Linked DNA regions of Drosophila melanogaster. The protein of the gene in region 1 purifies or fractionates together with the protein of each later gene. This does not show direct contact. Each region holds a gene or a part of one and is shown in the gene's direction. Other genes may lie near its edges.

What was found.
Region 2: the proteins of Rb97D (region 1) and mahe purify together in Drosophila melanogaster (affinity purification with mass spectrometry, with the first as the bait; one large-scale study listed by BioGRID). This does not show direct contact.
Region 3: the proteins of Rb97D (region 1) and Tet purify together in Drosophila melanogaster (affinity purification with mass spectrometry, with the first as the bait; one large-scale study listed by BioGRID). This does not show direct contact.
Region 4: the proteins of Rb97D (region 1) and ZAP3 purify together in Drosophila melanogaster (affinity purification with mass spectrometry, with the first as the bait; one large-scale study listed by BioGRID). This does not show direct contact.

What each region holds. Positions count from the first base shown.
Region 1 is NT_033777.3:26,871,316-26,877,748, reverse strand, and holds Rb97D (ribonuclear protein at 97D), read left to right. Parts: upstream 1-2,006; 5' UTR 2,007-2,136; coding exon 2,137-2,205; intron 2,206-2,345; coding exon 2,346-2,575; intron 2,576-2,647; coding exon 2,648-2,892; intron 2,893-2,958; coding exon 2,959-3,678; coding exon of another isoform or gene 3,679-3,682; intron 3,683-3,732; coding exon 3,733-3,884; 3' UTR 3,885-3,889; exon of another isoform or gene 3,890-4,070; 3' UTR 4,071-5,620; downstream 5,621-6,433. Other genes in the region: ro (rough), read left to right, coding at 1-207, 580-856; ms(3)K81 (male sterile (3) K81), read right to left, coding at 1,239-1,793.
Region 2 is NC_004354.4:7,928,277-7,933,231, reverse strand, and holds the start of mahe (maheshvara), read left to right. Parts: upstream 1-1,849; 5' UTR 1,850-2,358; intron 2,359-2,916; 5' UTR 2,917-2,929; coding exon 2,930-4,438; intron 4,439-4,675; coding exon 4,676-4,955. Other genes in the region: Dhdds (dehydrodolichyl diphosphate synthase subunit), read left to right, coding at 39-695, 938-1,183.
Region 3 is NT_037436.4:2,876,011-2,880,910, reverse strand, and holds the start of Tet (Ten-Eleven translocation (TET) family protein), read left to right. Parts: upstream 1-1,752; 5' UTR 1,753-2,378; intron 2,379-4,900. UniProt on the Drosophila melanogaster protein: Dioxygenase that specifically demethylates DNA methylated on the 6th position of adenine (N(6)-methyladenosine) DNA.
Region 4 is NC_004354.4:10,079,405-10,084,405, reverse strand, and holds the start of ZAP3 (ZAP3), read left to right. Parts: upstream 1-1,913; 5' UTR 1,914-2,101; coding exon 2,102-2,473; intron 2,474-2,534; coding exon 2,535-5,001. Other genes in the region: CG2972 (uncharacterized protein), read right to left, coding at 1-1,024, 1,084-1,158.

The sequences.
Region 1 (6,433 bases):
ACAACGCCGCCAGAGGACCACTTTCAGCACAGAGCAGACGCTTCGCCTGGAGGTGGAGTTCCATCGGAACGAGTACATCTCCAGGAGTCGTCGCTTCGAGCTGGCCGAAACGCTGCGCCTGACCGAAACGCAAATCAAGATCTGGTTCCAGAATCGCAGGGCCAAGGACAAACGCATTGAAAAGGCTCAGATCGATCAGCACTACAGGTGGGTTTCCCCTTTAGCTAATTTGAATCGTTTTTTCTGTTTCATATGTACAAAGATATCATCGATTTTGATTGAGTTAAATAATATTAAATGAACATAAATTAATGGTTGATGAATAGCTCGTGAAGAGGATTTTAACTGGGTATTTATACCTGCATTTTCGAAACGGAAGTAATTTAGTGAAATGTCACTAGTTTAATTGATGGCCAACATGAAATTAACACGAAATTAATTTTACGACATTTATGCGCACACAGACCCAATTAGACGATATCATTTTTTTCCATATTTTTTTTTTTTTTTTTTTTTTTTTTTTGTGCCGGAGGGGGTTGCTCGAAATTATTTTGTACATTGATGTAATCAATTTTTCAGAAACTTTGTCGTGGCCAATGGTTTTATGAGCTCTATAATGGGTCAGGCTGCCACGACCATGCCCCCCGGAGGCGTCACTGGGGGCGTGGCGGTGGGCGTGGGCCTAAACTACTATGCCGCGGCAGCGACGCCGGCAGCGCTGCCCAAGGATAACACGCAGGATGCCAATTTCATCGACATCGATGACCAGTTCCAGCGCCAGCAACAACAAAAACAACAACAACAGCAGCAGCAGCAGCGACGTCGAGAAACAACAACGCCTATTAACATTTGCTAATACTTGCTAATTGATTACATTTATTTGAGCTTTAAACTGTTTAGATTAAGATCGAATAAAAGTCATTGTGAAAACATAACAGATTGCAGGAATTGCACTTTTCGAAGAAATCACTCACTGCTTGCCAACAAACTTACGTGTGTTGTTATGGACTCAGCATTTTGCACTTGATTTATTTATATAAGAGAGGGTTTTTGAGGGAAAACCAGGAAATTTGTTAAAAACCAAACAGCAAAACTAACAAACAATAATGCAGCCCTGGTGCTCAGCCAGCTGTTTCTGCTGCTAATAACATGGCGGAAACTATCGATAGATGGTTACATAGATGGTAACAGTGTTATTTCAAATTTAATTTATGAAAATATCCTAAATGAAACAAACATTATCCCCCAGTAGTTCCCGCCAGATAAATGGCCATAGCTTCACGATTTAGATGCACAAACTGGCGCCTTTTCGGAATTGGTTGGACATTCGGTAGCCGCGTTCCATTCACGGCATTCAAACTCAGATTCGAGCTGGGATCGTAGTCATCGGAGAAAAGTGTATCGTCGGAAGAATTGGACTCAACCAACTGGCTTCCTGCTCTTTGAGCCGCCGCCGCCGGCGCTGCGCTAGTGGTTGATTCTTGCTCCTCCGAGGATTGTGTTGTGGACACACTAGCCGCGGACTCATGAGATTTCTCACTACTGCTCCTCGAGAGAATAGCACTGGCTGCCTGTCTATTTGCCAGGTGTCTCTTCGCATTGTTGTTCTTCAGCCGGTAGAGCTGGATCAGTTGCGTGTAGCACGAGAGGCACAGTGGCTGAGACCGCAGCTCCGAGTTTATCAGCTGGCCAAACTTCAGCAGGTGCGGATTTCTGATTACGCGGTACGGGGACCTCAGCGTGTGATTCCCCAGACCGCACAAGCGGTGCTCCTCATGGGGCGAATCCGACATTAGAACTTAAGTTGAATACTCAATTGAATGCATAAAGGGGCTAGTATACGTTGGCGGTTTTCGCTTTGCTTCTGAAAAACTATATTACAATTTGACAGCTATCGCATATCCAATTCGTGTATGTATTTATTATTACGATAGTAAAGAAACTTGGCACTTTAGAAATTTCAAGAATACCCCTAACCAACTTATCGATAACAAACAGAGAGAGTGGGTGTATCGAATCAATGATTCGCTTCCTGACAGCACAATTTTCACTTCGCTTCAACCGTTCGACGTGCAAACTGGTCGTTTTCGTTTCTTAATTTCGGTTAAATTTAGTGATAATTAATTTGCTAACACAATGGTGAAGGATGAGCCCCTATCGGACGAGTCCGCCGATGTGATTGTGCTTGCAGATCGCGAGGAAGATGTAAGTACATACGCGTACCTTTCTGTGCATGTATGCGGCTTGGCAAGTGACGCACCTATATTTGTTTCCCTTCACACATACCACCCTTCACCACATGCCAACCCACTTGGCTAACCCACTTACCACCTCTGCACCGGTAGGACATATGCGAGCTGGAGCACTTGCGTAAGCTCTTCATCGGCGGGCTGGCCCCGTACACCACCGAGGAGAACCTGAAGTTGTTCTACGGCCAGTGGGGCAAGGTGGTCGATGTTGTGGTGATGCGCGATGCTGCCACCAAGAGATCTCGCGGCTTCGGCTTCATCACCTACACAAAGTCTCTCATGGTCGACAGGGCCCAGGAGAACCGTCCGCACATCATCGACGGCAAGTGAGTATAGACTTGGTGGGGGATCATATCGTACCAAGAATAGATCTATACCATGAGGCCTTTCGCTTCCAGAACTGTGGAAGCCAAGCGTGCTCTGCCCCGTCCCGAACGCGAATCGCGCGAGACCAATATATCCGTGAAGAAGCTGTTCGTAGGCGGTCTTAAGGATAACCACGATGAGGAATGCCTTCGTGAATACTTCCTCCAATTCGGGAATGTAGTCTCCGTTAAATTGCTTACTGACAAAACCACTGGCAAGCGTCGCGGCTTCGCCTTCGTCGAGTTCGACGACTACGATGCAGTGGATAAGGCTATCCGTAAGCATAAAAGCTAAAATGCTAAATATTAGATTGATATTAATTATGAACCTTCATCCCGTTTAGTTAAAAAGCAACATGCGATTAAGTACGTTCACGTGGACGTCAAGAAGTCCATTTATAACCTGGACAAGAAGGAGAAACAGCAGCCAGGTGGGCTGGCCAACGCCATCAAGCCGTCGCTCAATCAGCAGCAGCAACAGCAGGGTGGCGGACAGCAGCCACCTAATGGCAATATGCAGGCACCTAGCTTTCGACCACCAGTGCCGCCACAACAGGCCATGGGCCCCTACCAACAACAGCCACCACCGGCGCCTATGTCTGCTCCACCACCAAACTTCAACTACTGGGGACCACCTCCGCCGGCTATGCCGCCCTACTACCAGCAGCCACCGCCGCAGCAGATGAACGGCTGGGGTCCATATCCGCCGCCGCAACAAAATGGCTGGAATGCACCACCACCGCCACCACCGGGTGCCCAGCAGTGGCACGCCAACCAGTGGGGTTGTCCTCCACCAGTGCAACAGGTGCCGCCGGTTGGAGCAGTGCCACCACCCATGGGTCACAATGGACCACCGCCGACGGCTCCAGGTAACTGGAACATGCCGCCCCCAGTGCCGGGTGCAGCTCCTCCATCCCACCAGCAGCAGTCTTCGCAACAGCCAACACCACAACCAAATTTCGGCACTGGCTATCAGCAAAACTACGGAGGCGGACCATCCAAGCACAACAATATGAATGCAAACCGCATGAATCCTTACTCGGCAGGTCCGCCCAACAGCTACCGTAGGTATAATCCATTATTAAAGACATGTAATTTTGAACAGCTACTAATTGTAGACACTCCTCAACCACCAGCATATACGGGCTACAACGCTGGACCACTGCCGCCTAATGGAAGCGTTCCGCCGCCAACTGGGGCCAAGGCTGTTGGCGTATCCAATGGCTCCGTGGCCACTGGAGGCAGTGCCAACAGCAAATATCGCCGCTAGATTGGGTGAGTAGCCGTACCCGCCATTAGTCGTTTCTTTTGAATGTGGTCTATGCATAAGAGCTACCTCAAATACGTCTTGCCACGAATATATCCATATACGCATATATTACTCGCCATTGATGCACTACGTCTGAAGTACTTGTTTATGTGTAATTACTAATGTCTAAAATTCTCTTTGATTTAGATGCTCTTTGGGCGGCTAAAGCTCAAGAATCAAGACACTCTTTAGTAAGCTCGTTCATAAGCTAGGCCACACTCGCTTAGAGTTACTAAGCAGGAAACTTAACGCATTGTCTCTCTATCATAGGACAACTAACTACGATTTTACTGTACACTTAAGCTATACCATTGATTACCCTACGATTGACCTAAGCTATGGCAGACTATATATAACTATTTTATACAACGTATTGCGAGGAGCGAGCACTTCTCCAGTTCGAATTACTCTAGACATAATTATGAAACTCTGTATCGTAGAAGAATGCCCAAAATACGATACGAAATTACAACAGGCTCTCTATTTAAATCTAAACCTCTCTCTCTATCTGTAAAACAAGAAGAAGGATTGTGCAATGGTGGAGGATGGAAGAACAATTGCCAATCAAGATCAATTAATTAGACATAAATCACGGAGCTGTAGCCTGAGCTTATTGGCCCAAAACAAGTAGTTTAATCGTAGATGCCTATGTATTACCTAAACCATTCAAATAAGAAGATACGTCCAAACAAAAAAAACACAAGAAACAAGAAACAAGAATATAAGAATCCGGAGCGAAGTCGGATCCCAAATCAAATCAAATCATACGCAGGGCTGGCGGGCGTGGCCTTAACTATTAATGTACACAAGAGATGATATCAAAACAAATGTCAATTTTTACAAGAAGCAAGAATCGGACACTTATATACTGTATTAATGTTAAAGGTTTCTTATCTCGTCGCCCACGATGTTAATTCATATACTACATATATCTCTTCTTATTTGTATATCATGACGAACTCAAAGAAGTGTATATACCCGAAAAAAATGCGAAGAAAATGTATATGCTTTCGGATTAACTAGACTTACGATTTATTCTCGACTCTCTCCTATTATTAAGCTGTTGTGCACGCCAAGGGCTTTGAATTGATCTTTATATATAATGCAGTACTGAAATAAGAGAGGTCTAGTCCACAATTTGCAAGATTCGTTATGCTGCATTATCGAGATACAATTTATCACTTAACCGAACTCTATGAAAACCCATACGCATATTTATTTTAAATAAATACAAATTAAAAACAACACTATGTATTTGTTTTAGCTGACGATATGTAAGTCTCTTTCTCTTTAGCGATAGCATAAACTATATTTAGTTACCGTTATGCCATTCTAGATACAAACAAATATCGCTCTAATTTTAAACATACTCTACTCTACAAAATACTCTTGAGACAAAGTTAATTCGTAAGGTAAGTTAGTAACGGATCTCATCTAGGATAAACTAGAGTTTTTATAAGTGCTCTTAAGTTTCTAACTTATGTGTATCTTGTTATCGAATCTTTATTACGCTTTTCTAAGCAAACAACCTATTTCTTTTCCAAAAAAAAAATAAACCCCCGGAGCAACGCTGGAGTGGCCTATTTCAAAAGACCAAGGCTCAAGTTTCCCATAAACTATGAGGTACGTAGAAGAGGACACGATTTATTTTATGTGTTGAAAAGCAAGAAACCAATAAAAAAGAGCTGCCAAAATCGAAGCAATCAGTGTTTTTATTCCAAGCGAACATGTTGGGAGCCAACACGTTGGAGGCGACACCAAAACCATGGGCAGGCAGTGCTCCATGCTCCACTTTGGCGATCCGTAATCATTCCGAAGCTTTTCCACAGGCAAACAGTCGCCTGCCATCCGCCAACGCGATTAGACATTTGAAGGGAAACACTTTTTCATTGAACGCACAGTGAGTACTCACGCAGAGTGAAACAAAGGATTGAGTGTCGTAATCGGATTAACAAAACAAGTGTGTGACATATGCAGATACAGATACTTTGCTTGTTCCTCAAATTTCTGCAAGCTCAGCTCTGGCTCGAGTTGCTCAAGTTCAATGTTCCTTGCTCATTGGCAAATAGTCAATCAATTGGACTTTATTTTCGATGAAATCAGTTCGTTAATTGGTCAGAACTGAGAAGCAAAAGTAAGTCCAGTGATTTGCAAGGTCAACTGTGAATTGCACTTCCGCCAATTCAAGTAGATTGTATCTGCTTTTGGTCCACTTTCATTCGCGATGCATAAACATTGCATCTTGGACACTGCATCACGTCATTGTTTCTAGTTTCGTCGGCATAATTAAACAAACACATGTGGAAGTATATATTGCATTGTATACATAGATATATATGTGTGCAACATGTGGAATGCACTGCAGCAGCATCCCACTCTCGGATATTCCTGGAAGCTCCATTCCGCGAGATCGCGTATACATTTCTCAATTGCCAGATACATAGCTGCGCATTTGACTTGATGTTCAGCGGCACAAAAGCGACGATTAAGCACATCTTGCTTGTGCTACC
Region 2 (4,955 bases), on another chromosome or scaffold:
ACTGACATCCAATCTTAATCCAGCTGAATTCAAAGACCATGTCGTGGGTCTCCGACTACAAGTACACATGGACGGAGCGGATAGCGATGCGAACGCTGCGCGCCTGTGGCTACATTCCGCACCACGTCGCCTTCGTGATGGACGGTAATCGGAGGTTCGCCCGCTCACAGCAGATTGATAAGATCGAGGGTCATTCGCGGGGATTCGAGAAGCTTGCGGACTGCCTGCGCTGGTGCCTGGACGTTGGCGTCCGCGAGGTGACCACCTTTGCCTTCAGCATCGAGAACTTCAAGCGTTCCAACGAGGAGGTGGAGGGTCTGTTCAATTTGGCCAGAGAGAAGTTTGCCCGCCTGCTGGAGGAGACTGCTCGACTGGACGAACATGGCATCCGCATTCGGGTGATTGGTAACATCGAGCTACTGCCACACGACTTGCAGAAACTAGTGGCTTCGGCTATGCTTAGCACGGAGCGCAATGACAAGCTCTTCCTGAACGTCGCCTTTGCGTACACGTCGCGGGATGAGATTACGCAGGCGGTGGAAACGATACTGCGGCATGGCAGCCAGGATTTGGCGGGCGAGGACATCAGTGAGCGGTTGCTGGAAGAATGCCTCTACACGCGACACTCGCCGCCACCGGATCTGGTGTTCCGCACCTCCGGCGAGACTAGGCTAAGCGACTTCATGATGTGGCAGGTGTGTAGAAGGATCTCTTCCAGGAACAGTTGTTTTTAGTCACCCCCTTTGGCAGATTTCCCACTTATTTAGTTTGATTAGTGATTAAGTAGTTACCTGTGCCCAATGTTCATTCGTTGAATTTCGCTCTGCGATTGCATCATTTTTATAAAATGCATTTAAAAATTGAGATCTTGACAGTTTTGCGGTCTTTGATAAAGTGGAAAAGCTTAAATATTAAACGACTGTTTTTACCATTTCAGTTAAGCACATCCGTGTTGTACTTCAGCAACGTCCTGTGGCCGCAGATCACTTTCTGGCATTTCCTGGCCAGCATTCTGGCCTACCAGCGTGATCGCTGGCAGCTGGACGACTTTCGGCGAGCGGAGAGGATGCAGAGCTGCCAGCTGGCCAAGGCGACTGACTTCTACAGCGAACGCGTCCAGAATTTCCTGACCACCATCGATGAGGATCGGCGGAAGCTGCTTGTGCGACTGGCCGCCAACTAAGTCCCTTCTGAAGTCCCGCCTGAAGTCCCTTCGATTTCCACATGATGATGATGTTTGTGATATCAGTGGGGAATAAAATCGTGTAAATAGCGTATACCTGTACGTACAGATGCTACTGTTTTCCGGCCTATGCAATAAGGCTATCCGCCTTTCAATATATGTGCCGTTGGAGATTTCATCACCTAAATGCACTTGTTTAAGACATTCAATTAATTTGTAGCCGAATTGTGGGCTTAGCTAGATTGTTTTCACTTTCGGTCGTAAAAAGTGTTTGCCTTCCATTTGATAAGTAAATTAAAGAATTAAAAAAAAAGCAACAATTTGTTTAAATGTGGAGGGGGGAAAGGAATAATTCCAAATTTATGTAAATTGCAATATAACACCCACTTATATTTGTATATTTTATATATATGTACATATGTGTAGCCTTTTAAGAATTGGTATCACAAAACTTTTTTTACGTGCTTAATTTATTTTTATCTAGATATCATTCTTGTATTTTTTATATATCAATTTATTTTGGTAACTCGCTAAATGTTTTTTAATTTTAGTATTTGTTGGTTTTAAATTTTAGCGGTAAATTAAGTGCAATAATGGTTAAACAATATTTATCGATAGTTTTGCAGGTAACTATCGATGCCAAAATACATCGAACGTATCCCATCACCATTGACTTTTGTTCCAGCTTTACAGTTCACATGCAACTTTCTGCTGAGCGCGTTTTTTTTTGTTATAAAAATCTAAAATACAAGAATTAGATTTAGCGAACTGGCTCCTAGTGTTTAACCAAGTACACCTTTAGTTAGCATTACGGTTACTTTCCCGTGGCGAAGGAATAATTGCAAAACCATTAGCTCTCGACAAAAGTTGTGCGAAGCAAAAAGAGAAGTTCGCGAGAAGAAGACGCCTGTGAGCGTGACGAAGAGAGCCGAGCGAGAGAGTGAAGAATATCGAATCGAACGGAACAGGGCCTCGAAAGAGAACGTGAAGGAAACGGATCGAAAAATCGCAGACTTTGACAACCGAAGAAAAACCCACATTCAAGACACAAAATTCCGGTTGCCTGAGGGGCAAATGTCAAATTGCGGCGCATAAATTACATTAATTTAAAGCTCCCCGCACAAGGCTCATCCAAATTTTCACACATAGGCAGCAGTTGTCGCAACAGAAAAAAGGTGAGTGCGTGTGTGTGTGTGGCGTGAAAAAGCGGTGCACTTTTTAAAAGTGTTTTTCTAACTAAATGAGAGCGTGCTCGCGCTTCTTTACCTATGCGGCGCACTCTACTTGTGTGTGTGTGGCGTGAAAACGCGGTGCACTTTTTAAAAGTGTTTTTCTAACTAAATGAGAGCATGCTCGCTCTTCTTTCCCTTTGCGGCGCACTCTACTTGTCTCTCTCGCGCCTGGTTTAGCTCTCCCGCTATTATTTTACCTCTTTGCGTCTCGTGTGCATTTGGCGATGCTGTATTGATTTTTTTCGGTGGTGGCTAGTGGGTGGGTTAAAGAACTGCCCCGCTCTTCACCATTCGAAACTAAGTCCCCCACTTCGTCCGACCCCCTCCCTCATGCCATAAAGCCCCTGCCCAAAAAGTCAAACGCGTTTCGTTTCTCTTTTTATTTTTACTCTGAGAGAGAGAGAGAGGCTCTTGACAGTTACAAAAGTGCAAAGTCTTTGTGGTGGTGTGTGCGAGGTATCTCCATGCGATTTCGCTGAACTTTTGTTCATTTCTCGACAGGATTCAGCACACGATGTTCGCTGGAGCATATGCACCCAACGCTGGGGGCGTTCAGCAGCACACTGGCGGCGGTTACTATGGCAATGGTGCCGCAGCAGGCGCTGGCGGTAGCGGCAACGGGGCCCCACGCCACGAGCGTCAATACTATCCGCGCGGCAATTTCGGCGGTGCCGCCGGGGGAGCTGGCATCAATGGAGCAGCCACTGCGGCTGGAAGCATGCACTTTGGTCAGCCCTATGGCGTGATGACCTATGGCATCCAGAATGGTCTGGGAATGGGAGCCGCCGGTTCTGGTGGCGGCAATCCGTATCGCCAGCAAAACGGTGTTGCATTCGCCGGTAATGGACTTGGAGGAGGCGCCGGTGGCGGATCCGGAGGATCTGGCGGATATGGAGGACAGCGTGGCAAAAATCCAACCTACGCACAGCGTTATCAGAAGCCGAACAACGGCGCCGGAGTTGCTGGTGGCTACCAAAGCAATAACTACAATGCTGCCGCCTTAGGCATGCTTTCCAAAGAGGAGCGCGCCGAGATCCAACGTGAAAAGGCCAAAAATCCCGGCCGAAATTTAGTGAAACCCAAGTGGGAGAACCTCGAGCCCTTCCTCAAAGATTTCTACAACATTCATCCGAATACACTGGCCAAATCAGAGCAGCAGGTGGCCGAGATCCGGCGCGAACTGGAAATCACCGTGTCTGGCAATGAACTACCACACCCGGTGGTCAGTTTCGAGGAGAGCTCGCTGCCCGCTCACGTCATTGAAGAGATGAAGCGCCAGGGATTCACCAAGCCCACTGCTATCCAATCGCAGGGTTGGCCCATTGCCTTAAGTGGCCGCGATTTGGTGGGCATTGCCCAGACCGGTTCAGGCAAGACGCTGGCATACATGCTGCCTGCCATCGTGCACATTGGCAATCAGCCGCCAATAATTCGCGGCGAAGGACCCATTGCTCTAGTGTTGGCCCCCACCCGGGAGCTGGCCCAGCAGATCCAATCTGTCGTGCGAGACTATGGACATCTGTGCAAGCCAGAGATTCGTCACACTTGCATCTTTGGCGGCTCATCGAAGGTGCCGCAGGCACGCGATCTTGACCGCGGCGTCGAGGTGATCATCGCCACACCAGGACGTCTGATTGATTTCCTTGAGAATCGCAACACTAACTTGCAGAGATGCACTTATCTGGTGCTGGACGAAGCCGACCGCATGCTGGACATGGGTTTCGAGCCGCAGATCCGTAAGATCATTGAACAGATTCGTCCCGACCGTCAGGTGGTCATGTGGTCCGCAACCTGGCCAAAGGAGGTGCAGGCCCTAGCCGGAGACTTTTTAAACGATTATATCCAAATCAACATTGGTTCGATGAACCTATCGGCTAACCACAACATTCGCCAGATTGTCGAGATCTGTACAGAAATAGAGAAGCCGCAGCGCTTAGTATGCTTGCTCAATGAGATTTCTCCCATCAAGAATTCGGGAAACAATGGGAACAAAATTATCGTCTTTGTGGAGACCAAGATCAAGGTGAGTTCTAATTCGATAAATGGCTTAAAGAATTCGAAATATTCTTTCGATTTACCATTTTAAATTGTATTTGTTCTCTTTTCGTTTTACTTCGAAGGTTTATCAACATATTCTTTGTTTTTTATAGTTGCATTTTACTTGCAAAAATCCGAAATGACCCGTCAAGAATATATTGTTTATGTGATATTAATTAGAAGCACCCCACTAATTATCAACCGTTTTCTTGCCCTTATCCAGGTGGAGGACATCTTGCAGATCATTCGAGCCGAGGGTTACAACGCCACCTCAATTCACGGCGACAAGACCCAGAATGAGCGTGATTCAGTGCTAAAGGATTTCCGTAACGGCAAGTCCAACATTCTGATTGCCACCGATGTGGCTTCGCGCGGCCTCGATGTCGAGGATCTGCAGTACGTAATTAACTATGATTACCCGAACTCCTCGGAGAACTACGTGCACCGTATCGGGCGCACTGGTCGCTGCCAGCAGCTGGGAACTGCCTACACATTTTTCACGC
Region 3 (4,900 bases), on another chromosome or scaffold:
TTTTTCAAATACTTCTGCAGCACCAACTGTCAGATACATTTCTGGTTTCCTTTGCCGCACGTCTTTTTATTGTGGCTGCTTGCAGTGTGAATGTCCTTTGCTGTCCTCACAAAGGACACGCAAAAGCCAAATAAGAGCGAAAAAAGTAGAAAAAAACGCAAAGAGCGGAATGCAGAAGAACGAAGAGAGACTTGCAGCAGCTTCGAGTGCAGAAAACCCAACTATGAAGAACTTGTCTGCGGATCGTGAACTTAAGAACTATCTAAGAGGAGAAAAGGCCGGCTGCATTTTGTTGTTTGTGCAGATGTTTCTTCGAGGTTCCTCGAGGGATTTTATGGGTATGCGTTGCGTATGGGACAGGTCAGTGTTCGGAGGATTCGGATTCAGATTGAGATTCGGTTCCGGAGGATTCGAAGTCGGTTAAGGGTTGTGCCCCTAGGTTGAATGATTTTCCATTACGCAATGCAAATAGACAGCAGCGTTCCGCGTACTCGCTTTGTTTTGTTATTTTCTCTGTCAGCGCCAGGCAACAATGCAACTGTCAAGGTTTCCATTTTCCGCCGTGGATTGCTCTCTATGAAATGGCGAAAAAATGGCAGCTCCACTAATAGTTGGCATGAAACGAGGTTGCAACAGGACCGCCACGAGAAAAAAGTGAAATGAAATCAACCGCCCCCGCTCTTTGCGCAAAAGTAAAAAAGGGGCAAAACATGGCAGGCAAATTGTACCAAAATCCCGCAACGGCAGCCAGTGCAATGCCAGGATATATGGCACATGCCCACAAGGTCCTGCCTCCGTGTCCTGCGTCCAGCGCAGCAGTGGCAGCAACAGCACCGCAGCAACGTCCACGGCACCGCAGCAACAGCAGCGGGAAAGTAAAACTTATTCGGCTGGTCGAACTGCGAATGCCCTGAATTTCGAAACACATTTTGCGAGCTTATCTATTCTGATAAAATTGTAAATAAATCAATAAACTATACGCCAATTACCATATAATGCATGCTTGAATTCAATGTGCTTAATTGCTAAGTAAGCTAAGTAAGCTCCTTGGTTAGGGTATCAAAACAAAGGCAGCAGAAAATATCTCGTAGCGCACATAGATTGCAAGTTCGCATTGTGAGCGCGAAACTAGGGAAAAAAATTTTTAATTGGAACAACAACTGTACAGCGGCGCAGCAGCAGCAACAACAACAAAAGCGCACTTCAAACGCCGCATGTTCGTATCCGTGTCTTGTTGCAGCTGTGTGTGTGTGTGTGTGTGCTTGTGTGTTAATGAAAGAGAGAGGATGCAGCCGTAAATGTAACTGTGTGCGTGCGGCTGTGTGTTTGTGTGTGTGTGCCAGGACTCTCGAGCCAAAAGTTGCAGGCGCAACAGCAACAAGCAGCAGTTCGAAGTTAAATATTTAAGAATTTACAAAACTTTTTAGGGAACATAAAAATAAATACAAATTTCAAAACGAAAGAATCTTGCTCTTCATCTTTTAATGATGGTCAAACTGAAAAATAATATATTTTACGAATGACTAATAAGCACAAAAATAAATTAAAAATCATTTCTTAAAAATGCTTAAGTATTGAATGAATTATACAATATAAAACCGCTAGTTAAGAGAATTCGGTCGTCATGCTTGTTGTATTCTTAAGTTCGAGTGGAGCCCGCATTGGTTCGATGCGAACATGAACCTGTTCGCTTCGAGCACGAACTTGTTCGATACATTTTATGTTTGCTCCTTCATTTTCATTTTCATTTTCAGTTCAGTTAGTTCAGTTGTTGTGTATCCTTCGGGTGAAAAGTTTCCTACAAAACACGGACTTTTGCACCGCCGCCGCCGTTCGAGCGCTAGAAACGAGTGCGAGTGCGTGTGAGACTTACTAGCTAACTAACTGATTCTGATTCTGATTTTCGGGAATATACTATCCCTTCGGTGTGGGTGTGATCGAGTTCAAGGACTCGCGACTAACTTGTTCCAGTTTCGAAAACAGGCAGCCCCAAATAATGTGACCAATGTGACCAGTGAATTAGAATATCCAAGAGCAAAACAAAATCAAGAACTCCCGCAGATGCCGCACTTGCAGCTCCAAGTTCTTCAGCTTTTCATCCAAGTCCCGGTTTAATTTGCAGCTCCAGTTTCGCGCTCGGTTCTCTGGGTTTCCCTGCAATTTCCGCGATTTCCTTCTTTTGTTCCCTTCGTTCCGTTTTCGCGTCGCGGTTTGTTATTGTCAACTTTCGTTTTCGTGCGGTTTTTCGCGGCTTTTCTAACGGTCCAACGACGGTCGGCAAATGGATAGTGAAACTGGCTTGGATTTCCAATAGCTTCTAAGTACTCAACATTTTCCGAGGAAAAAAACTCGTGAAAGGACATGGATTAACAACTAAGGTTTGTAGTAGGGATTTAACAATATACATATATTTAAGTATATATAAATCGGGATGCTTTATGTATACCTTTTATCTATATATAACTATTCTGCGTATATAATCATTTTATTTGTGGTACCAAAGAAAATTAAATAAATGGTTTTTTTTTTTCATTAATTAAGCATAGCCATCAAACAAAAAGACAAATAGCCGCATACAGAACATAACTAACTCTTTGAAAACGAATCGTAAGGAACGTTTCCAAGAAACCAAACAGAATGGCCATATCCCTTTCATAAAACCGACTCCAATTAATAAAGCCAATTGAGCAAATGTATAAAAATGTTGAGCTCCAATCAAATATAAAACTCTACGCTTTTGTTCCTAATCCCTCAATTAAACTCACCTCTCGACCGAAAGCCAAAGAAAAACAAATTTCCAATTGAAATTTGCATTTGGGGCACAGGAAATACTTTCCAAGCGTAAACATGTAAACAAAGAGATAACAATTGTTATTGGTCATCCGAGGATCAAATTACAATAAGTGCAAGCTCAAAGAAGACCCAAAAAACAAAATCACAATCACCTAAGCAGGCAATTTCAGCGAGCTTTATTTGTGCAAGACAAATAAACAAAATAAAATAATAATATTACAGTAAAGGCAGAGGCTTCTCTTTTTGGACCGCAAACACTTATGGCAATGAGTAATGACTTTTAAAAGAAGAACTGTTTCTGATAGATACATTTTGCGTTTGTCTTAGCGCCAACTTAAATTAAAAAGCAGCGGGCTCTGAACTTCTTCTGGTTGTGAAGAGTTGAGCCGAGGCCCTGAAAACGTGCCAGAAAGCGACACACAGAGATACAAAGATACAGATACTCGTAACTAACAGTAACGTGCGTACATCTTCAAGATACTTTTTGGCGCGCTCAGAACAGAAGCGCCGAAAACAGAAAATAAAACAAGGAGAGTACATGGGAACGAGAAGCACAACAGAAAGCGAAAAGCTAAGAACACAGAAGGAGATACTTGTGCTCCTACAAGATACAGCTACAGATACAGATACATGGCAATAAAGAGAATTTAAAGAAAGATAAATAATAAAACCAAACAAATTGAGGCGCAGGCCGCGAAAGAAGTTCAAGTTCAGCGAATGTATCTCCGTGCCAGTATCTGTATCTGTTGGATGCAATTTGTCGGCCGCCTGCAAGTTTATTACCGTCTTACCCCCAATGAATCTATATATAGCTGCCATATTTTGTTTACAATTTTCCGCCGCCCACGATTCATTCATAAAACACATCAGCCCAAAATAAAAGTTGGCAAAAGGACACGCAGGCAAATTAAGGCTTTGACCTAGAGAAAAATAAACAACACCCAGGATATAACCCCTGCCCCCGTCCTCCCCCCCTCCACACACTCGTTAACAGTAACGTGCGTGACTTTGAAAGCAGGCAAGGCAAATGACAAACTCGTAAATCTCAACACACTCACGGGAAGTGGGTGGTGCGTTTTTTTTTTTGGGATGTGGGTGAAAATGCGAGGCATAAGTGCCCCTACTCCCATTCATATACGCTTAATACTCAGCCGCGTATGCCTGTCCATGGACTCCTTGCATGGCTTCATTGGGCCCCACAGCACGTTTCATTTCATCCACACCTGCACCGCCGCACCACTCCGCGCACAACCCATCCCCACACCCAAACACCCAAACACCAATACCGCCAAGCTTCGGCACAACTCAATTTGCACGTGACACAACGAGGAACGAGATGTGGAGCAGGCACTGCCAGGCGAATTAACTCGCGTCAGGAATTTAAAGAAAATATCTTTCAGATACTATATATATTTTTAAGCATTCAAGTTCTAAGCTAGAACGAAAAAATGTTATATGAGAGCTTGAAATTAAGTTTTCGTATTAATATTCGCCATCATTTATAATATTGTAATAACTTGCCTTTAAGAAATTCAAACAGAGAACCGACAGAGAATAGTCGCTTAACTAAAAACAATTTTATTGCATTTGATGGCTTGATAAACAGCTTTCACTAAATTGCCTGCGTTCCATAGTATTTGTCTTGACTTTCAAGCTACCTTCCGCACAATATAAACTCGATTAAGTACATCCACCACCTTCGCAAGGAATGCAATTTCAGCCGTCTAGTTCGTATCATTAACATAAAATGAAATAATTTCCCCACCCATTTGCCAGTTTGTGGGGCTTCTTGAAATGCTACCCGGCCGAAATGATGCACCCCACCGAAAGTGGAATGGAATTTTATTCATTAACTTGCTGCGCTGCACATTTGGCAATTGTATAACATGCATAAATATGCAAACTTATTATGGCCCGAAAAATAGTTTCGCAATAGCGCAGTGCTGGGGAAAAATGTTAATAAATATTTAGCCCAACTGCTTTTGAACAATCCTCATATGAGCAAAAGTTGTAAACAAGCGCACAATGTTCGGATAACATATTAAAATATTACATTGAAGAGGATGAGCTGGGAAACTGGTTATGGGGACGAGGAGGAGGACGTGGG
Region 4 (5,001 bases), on another chromosome or scaffold:
TCACCTGGCGACCGTTCTCGTCCAGACTGACGGCCACACGTTTCAGCGTCTTGTTGCCACAATTGGGGCAAAACACCTTGGTCATGATGCTGGTGGTCTTGTAGCACGCGTAGCAGCGGAGTATATATGTGCGCAACTGCTTGATGATCCGGCCATTGAGGGCGGCCAGGTGGAGATTTAGCTGCTTGAGCACGTTCTGCAGCGCATAATCGGTGGTCATGCAGGCGACGGGCGGCACTTCATCCGTTTCCACTTTGCCCTCGAGCGCTTTCTTGGCCTTCTTGATGTTTGAATGCGTGATCCAGCCATCGTCACCCACATCCTCGTCGAGATTTTGGCTCTGTTTGGCTTCTTGTGGCTCGGATACCTCCTCATCTACTTCGGCCGGCTGGGAAACGAGCAGTTCCGAGAGCTCTTTCTCTTCCTCGGCACTGGGTGCGCATTTGAGCTGCTCGAACAGCTTGTCCAGCTCCTCCTGACTGGGCTCCTGGTCTTGGTCCTCCTCCTTTTCGATGGTCTCGCTGGCAAATGGTTCCTTGCCGGCCAATTGGGCTTCGATGGCGGCTTTAACAGTGTCTGGGGATTCATTTGCCTCCTGCTCATCGCCTTCAGCATCGTCCTCTTCCTGGGAGTAATCATCTTCCTCCTCGGAATCCTCCTCCTCCTCCTCTTCGCCCTCGGGCATGTACCAACCGACCAGTCTCTTGTTATTAGCATCCTGCATCTCCTCGGGTTTATCCTTGGACGCAATGGTCTGCGCCATCACAGGCTCCTGGCGCAGGTGATCAGTGCCCACGTTGTCTGCTTCCAGTTCGTAGGTGAGCGAGATCACTTTCAGATCGATCCCCGAGAGACTCGCGTAGTCACCCGTTTTCTTGGCGAACTCCACGCAGTGTTTAATGCTCTCCGGACGAGGCTCGCGCACCTGGAGGTCGAAGGGCAGAACGCAGAGGCGGCGAATCTGGCGCTTGTTGCGCACTTCGGCCACCACATCCGGCACGGTGAGCACCTGCTCCGCGTATTCCTGTAGGGGATTAGTGGCGGCTTTAGATGGCTCGAATGGGCAAATTGTGCGTGACTTACATTCAGGGGCACGGCGTTTATAAAGGCTGTGGTGTCCGCCACAAGGAACTTGATCTTTTCGCTCGTTTCGGCCATTTTCAGTGCTAATTTTCACATGAAAAACAAAGGACGGCAAAAAATAACAATTTCTGCACGTGTCGCGATTAGTGTGGCTGTAGTGAGCTGTGACCGTTACGTTAGGGTATGCTAAAAATACCAAAAAGTGTTTATGAATTTGTGATTTTAATATTAGTTAATTAAATTTTACATTTTTAAGAGTTAGGCAAAGCTAAATGAATGCGTTCCCTAAAATTTTATTGCTAGCTCTCAATAAAATTGTTAAAATTAATTCATGTTAAAATATATTTCTATGAGATATTATATTATTATCACAGGGAGATATCGGTCCTGACTACTTAGACTTTCGGCCGGACTGTTGGAAAATTACCAAATTTACTTAACAAACTACAAAAAACATCAGTTAAACAAAATATCACTTGACTTAACTTATATTAACATATTTACAGATATGAAAAAATGTAGTAAAATGCCTGGTCTGAGAAATCTATTAATTTGCTGCAGATTTTCAAAAAGCTCATTAGAAGGTCTGCCAGTTTGATCTTCTTGTTTATTTTTTTTTTAACATATTTTCGTATTATCAATACAACTTCTACGAATCAATCACTTAAGCAAGCTATCTTTGCTAATTTTTCAATTTGTAGGCTTGTAAGTGCATTGGATTACATTCAAATTATTTTATTAATTGGCAATGGAATATTCTAGGGTGCTTGCGATATATGGATGCACACTCGCAGCACGGTCACACTGCCCGGCCCATTTAGCTGACAGTTCCATCTCTAGTTTTCAAGCCAAATATGGCGAAGTTTTCATTATCAATTCGTTCAGATAGCAAACTGAATTAGTGAAAGGTGGACGATTTTAAACGGAACGGAGCCAATCCGCCGGATTTTGTGAAAGCCCAACCGAGCGGTACAAGTGTGTTATTCGCTAATAGGCTAATCAATCCAGTGGACACGGTATGTGGGGCCAATGGCAAACCGCCGCCGCAGTGGCTCCCACTGCCGCTCTACCTCCGCAACCGTCGGTTCCGCCACCGTTGCCGGACGCCCCGCCCCCTCCGCCTCCATCGGACGCGACCGCCGGAGCCGGAGCATCAAGCGGTGCCTCTGCACCCATAGTCACGACTGCAGCCGCAGTCACAACGGCCCCTGGATTCAACCCCTATAGCAGCGGCCAGGCGACGGGGGCTGGCAACCCCTATCAACAGTATACGGCCGCCCAGTACGCGGCCATGACACCCGAACAGCAGTACGCACTGCAGCACCACTGGCAACAGTGGCAGACATACCAGGAGGAGTACGCCAAGTGGCATGCCCAGTACGGTGAGCAGGTGGGTCAAATCAATTAGTTATCGACGATCATATTGCTATAGTAGTCTTCCAAATCTTTAGTATAAGCGTGAAATGGCCGCAGCCGCGGCCACAACTACCGCAGTTCAAGGCGTGCCCGCGCCTGTGGTAGCGACTCCTGCAGCAGCACCCGTCCCTGTGGTCGCTCCTCCCGGGCCACAGGCCTATCCTGTCGCACATAACTATTACCAAGGTGTCAGCGCCTCGCCGGCGCAGTCAACTACACCCGTAGCCGTCGCGGGAGCACCGCCACTGCCCGGTAAGATCATGGCCCAGCCGCAGATGTACAACCAGCCGCCGCCGCCACCACAAAAAGGCGGTTACAATCAGCATCCGAATGACATCCAAAGCATGTGGTCAGGACCACCGCCAATGCAACAGCCGCCGCCAAATAGATATGGTGGCGGTCAAATGAACCAGATGAACTACAACATTGCCGGGCAAGACAACCAGGGATTTCCGAATCTCCAGCAGCCGCCGCCAAGTTTGCAGAGACCAACACCGCAACAGCAGCAGCCGCATTTAAACCATATGGACCATGGCCAGTGGGGAAATAATCAACACGGTGTGGGCAATAATAATCGTCCTACCTGGGATACCAGTGGTCCGCCGCCTGATAATACCGGCCAACCCAATCGCTGGAATGGCCCGCCGCCGGCAAATGATGTCAACAATCGCTGGAATGGAACGTCATTTAACAATAACACCAATGATGGCAATCGCCGCTGGGATGGGACTTCAAATCAAGCGCCGTCTGGCGGGGATCAGCAACTAAATCGTTGGATGAGCGAACCACCGCCAAGCCTTCCGAATCCCAATCAGCAGTATCAAAACCAGAATTCCTGGATGAGCGGACCACCACCGAGTATAAGTGATCCGCCACAGGACCATCAGCAGCAAAACAATAGCAGCCAGAATGCCCGCTCGAGTCGCTGGCAAGGAATCAATTCCGACATCGATACACCGCCAATGAGGACTAACAACAAGCCAAATAGCATCCAGAATAGCCGCAATAGTTGGGGTGATGGAGGTGGAGATGGAAACCAAAGCAAGAACCCATTCATTAAGAATCCACAGTCCGATTTTGGCAATTATGGCAACAGTTACAATAGCCAAGATCAAGGTAGTGCAGGAGGAGGCAACTTTGGCGGCTTTGGAGATGATAGTGGAGGCAAGCAAAGCCAGGACAGTTTTGCTGGACGTGGTGGAGGACCCGGCAATAATATTAATAATAACTTTAGTAACAATCGCCGCCAGAACAATCGACGGGATAACAATCGTAACCAGGGATTTTCCGATGAGAGAGGCGGTGGGGATTCTGGTCCAGGCGGCTACAATCCAAATCGTGGCAATTACAATCAGCGCAACAGCTTCAATCAGTCGAATGCGCCCTACAAGCAGTCGCAGCAGAACCGCAATCAACAGCAACCACCCGATTTGGACGAGGCCAGTTTCGATCTGCTGTTCGATCAGTGGGAGCAACAGTTCGAAGAATGGAAGCTGGCCAATGCCAACCATCCGGATCGTGACGAGTATCGACGCTACGAGGAGGAGTTCGAGAAGCAGCGCCGTCGCATCGCCGAGAGAAGGGAGCAGATGCGCCGACGTCGCCAACTGCAGATGGGTGGTTCGGCAGGAGGCTCGACCACAGACATAAGGAAGGAAGCAGCCGCAGGTGCATCCACGACCGCGGAGCAGAAGCCAAATAAGGATCCCTTCGAAGGCCAGGGCCGTTTTGCCGATCAGGGTGACCAGGATCACGGATCGGGTCCCAACTTCGGAAACGGGAACAGACAGTCCGGAAATGCTGGTCATTTTGGAAAAGAGAATCGCCCCTTCGAAAGCGCCGGAGTACCTGCATTCAGAGGCAACCAAGGACCGCCACCGGGGATGCACAACCAGTACCAAACCGCCCAGGAAGCCATCCAGCAGATATTGGACGAACAGCCAGATGAATCCAACCAGGAAATTCCAACCAAGCCGGCGGCATCAAATGAAAATTCATCTGATGTAAAGAAAGCAAAAACGACAGCTTCCCCAGTGGCTCCACCGATTGCACCCGTGGTGCCGCCCGAAGTTAAAGCTCCAGCTGCACCAGTAGTGCCAGATCCGACAGTGGTTCCGCCCACGCAGCCTCCTCCGGTTTCCACAAATTATGGCAAGCGCCGTCAAAGAGCTGCTCCCTCACAAATACCCGCTAAGCAAGTCAAGGAGGAGGAGCCCATATTCACCATTTCCCTGGACGACGACGACGACGATGATGAGGAGAAAGAGGTGGTACAGGACGCACCTAACACGCCCATGGGCAGCATTTTCAAGAAGAACGATGGCATACCCGGTCTGGATTTGGTGGACGATGGCAGTAACAAGAATAATTCGTCCTCAGTCTTCAATGTGGTGCTCAAGGATTCCAGCGAAAAGAAAGCGGCTGATGAAACTGAAAAACAGCCAGGCGACGTGTCCGCCGACAAGAAGGGCGACGAATCTCTAAGCAATGCCCTCAAGGATC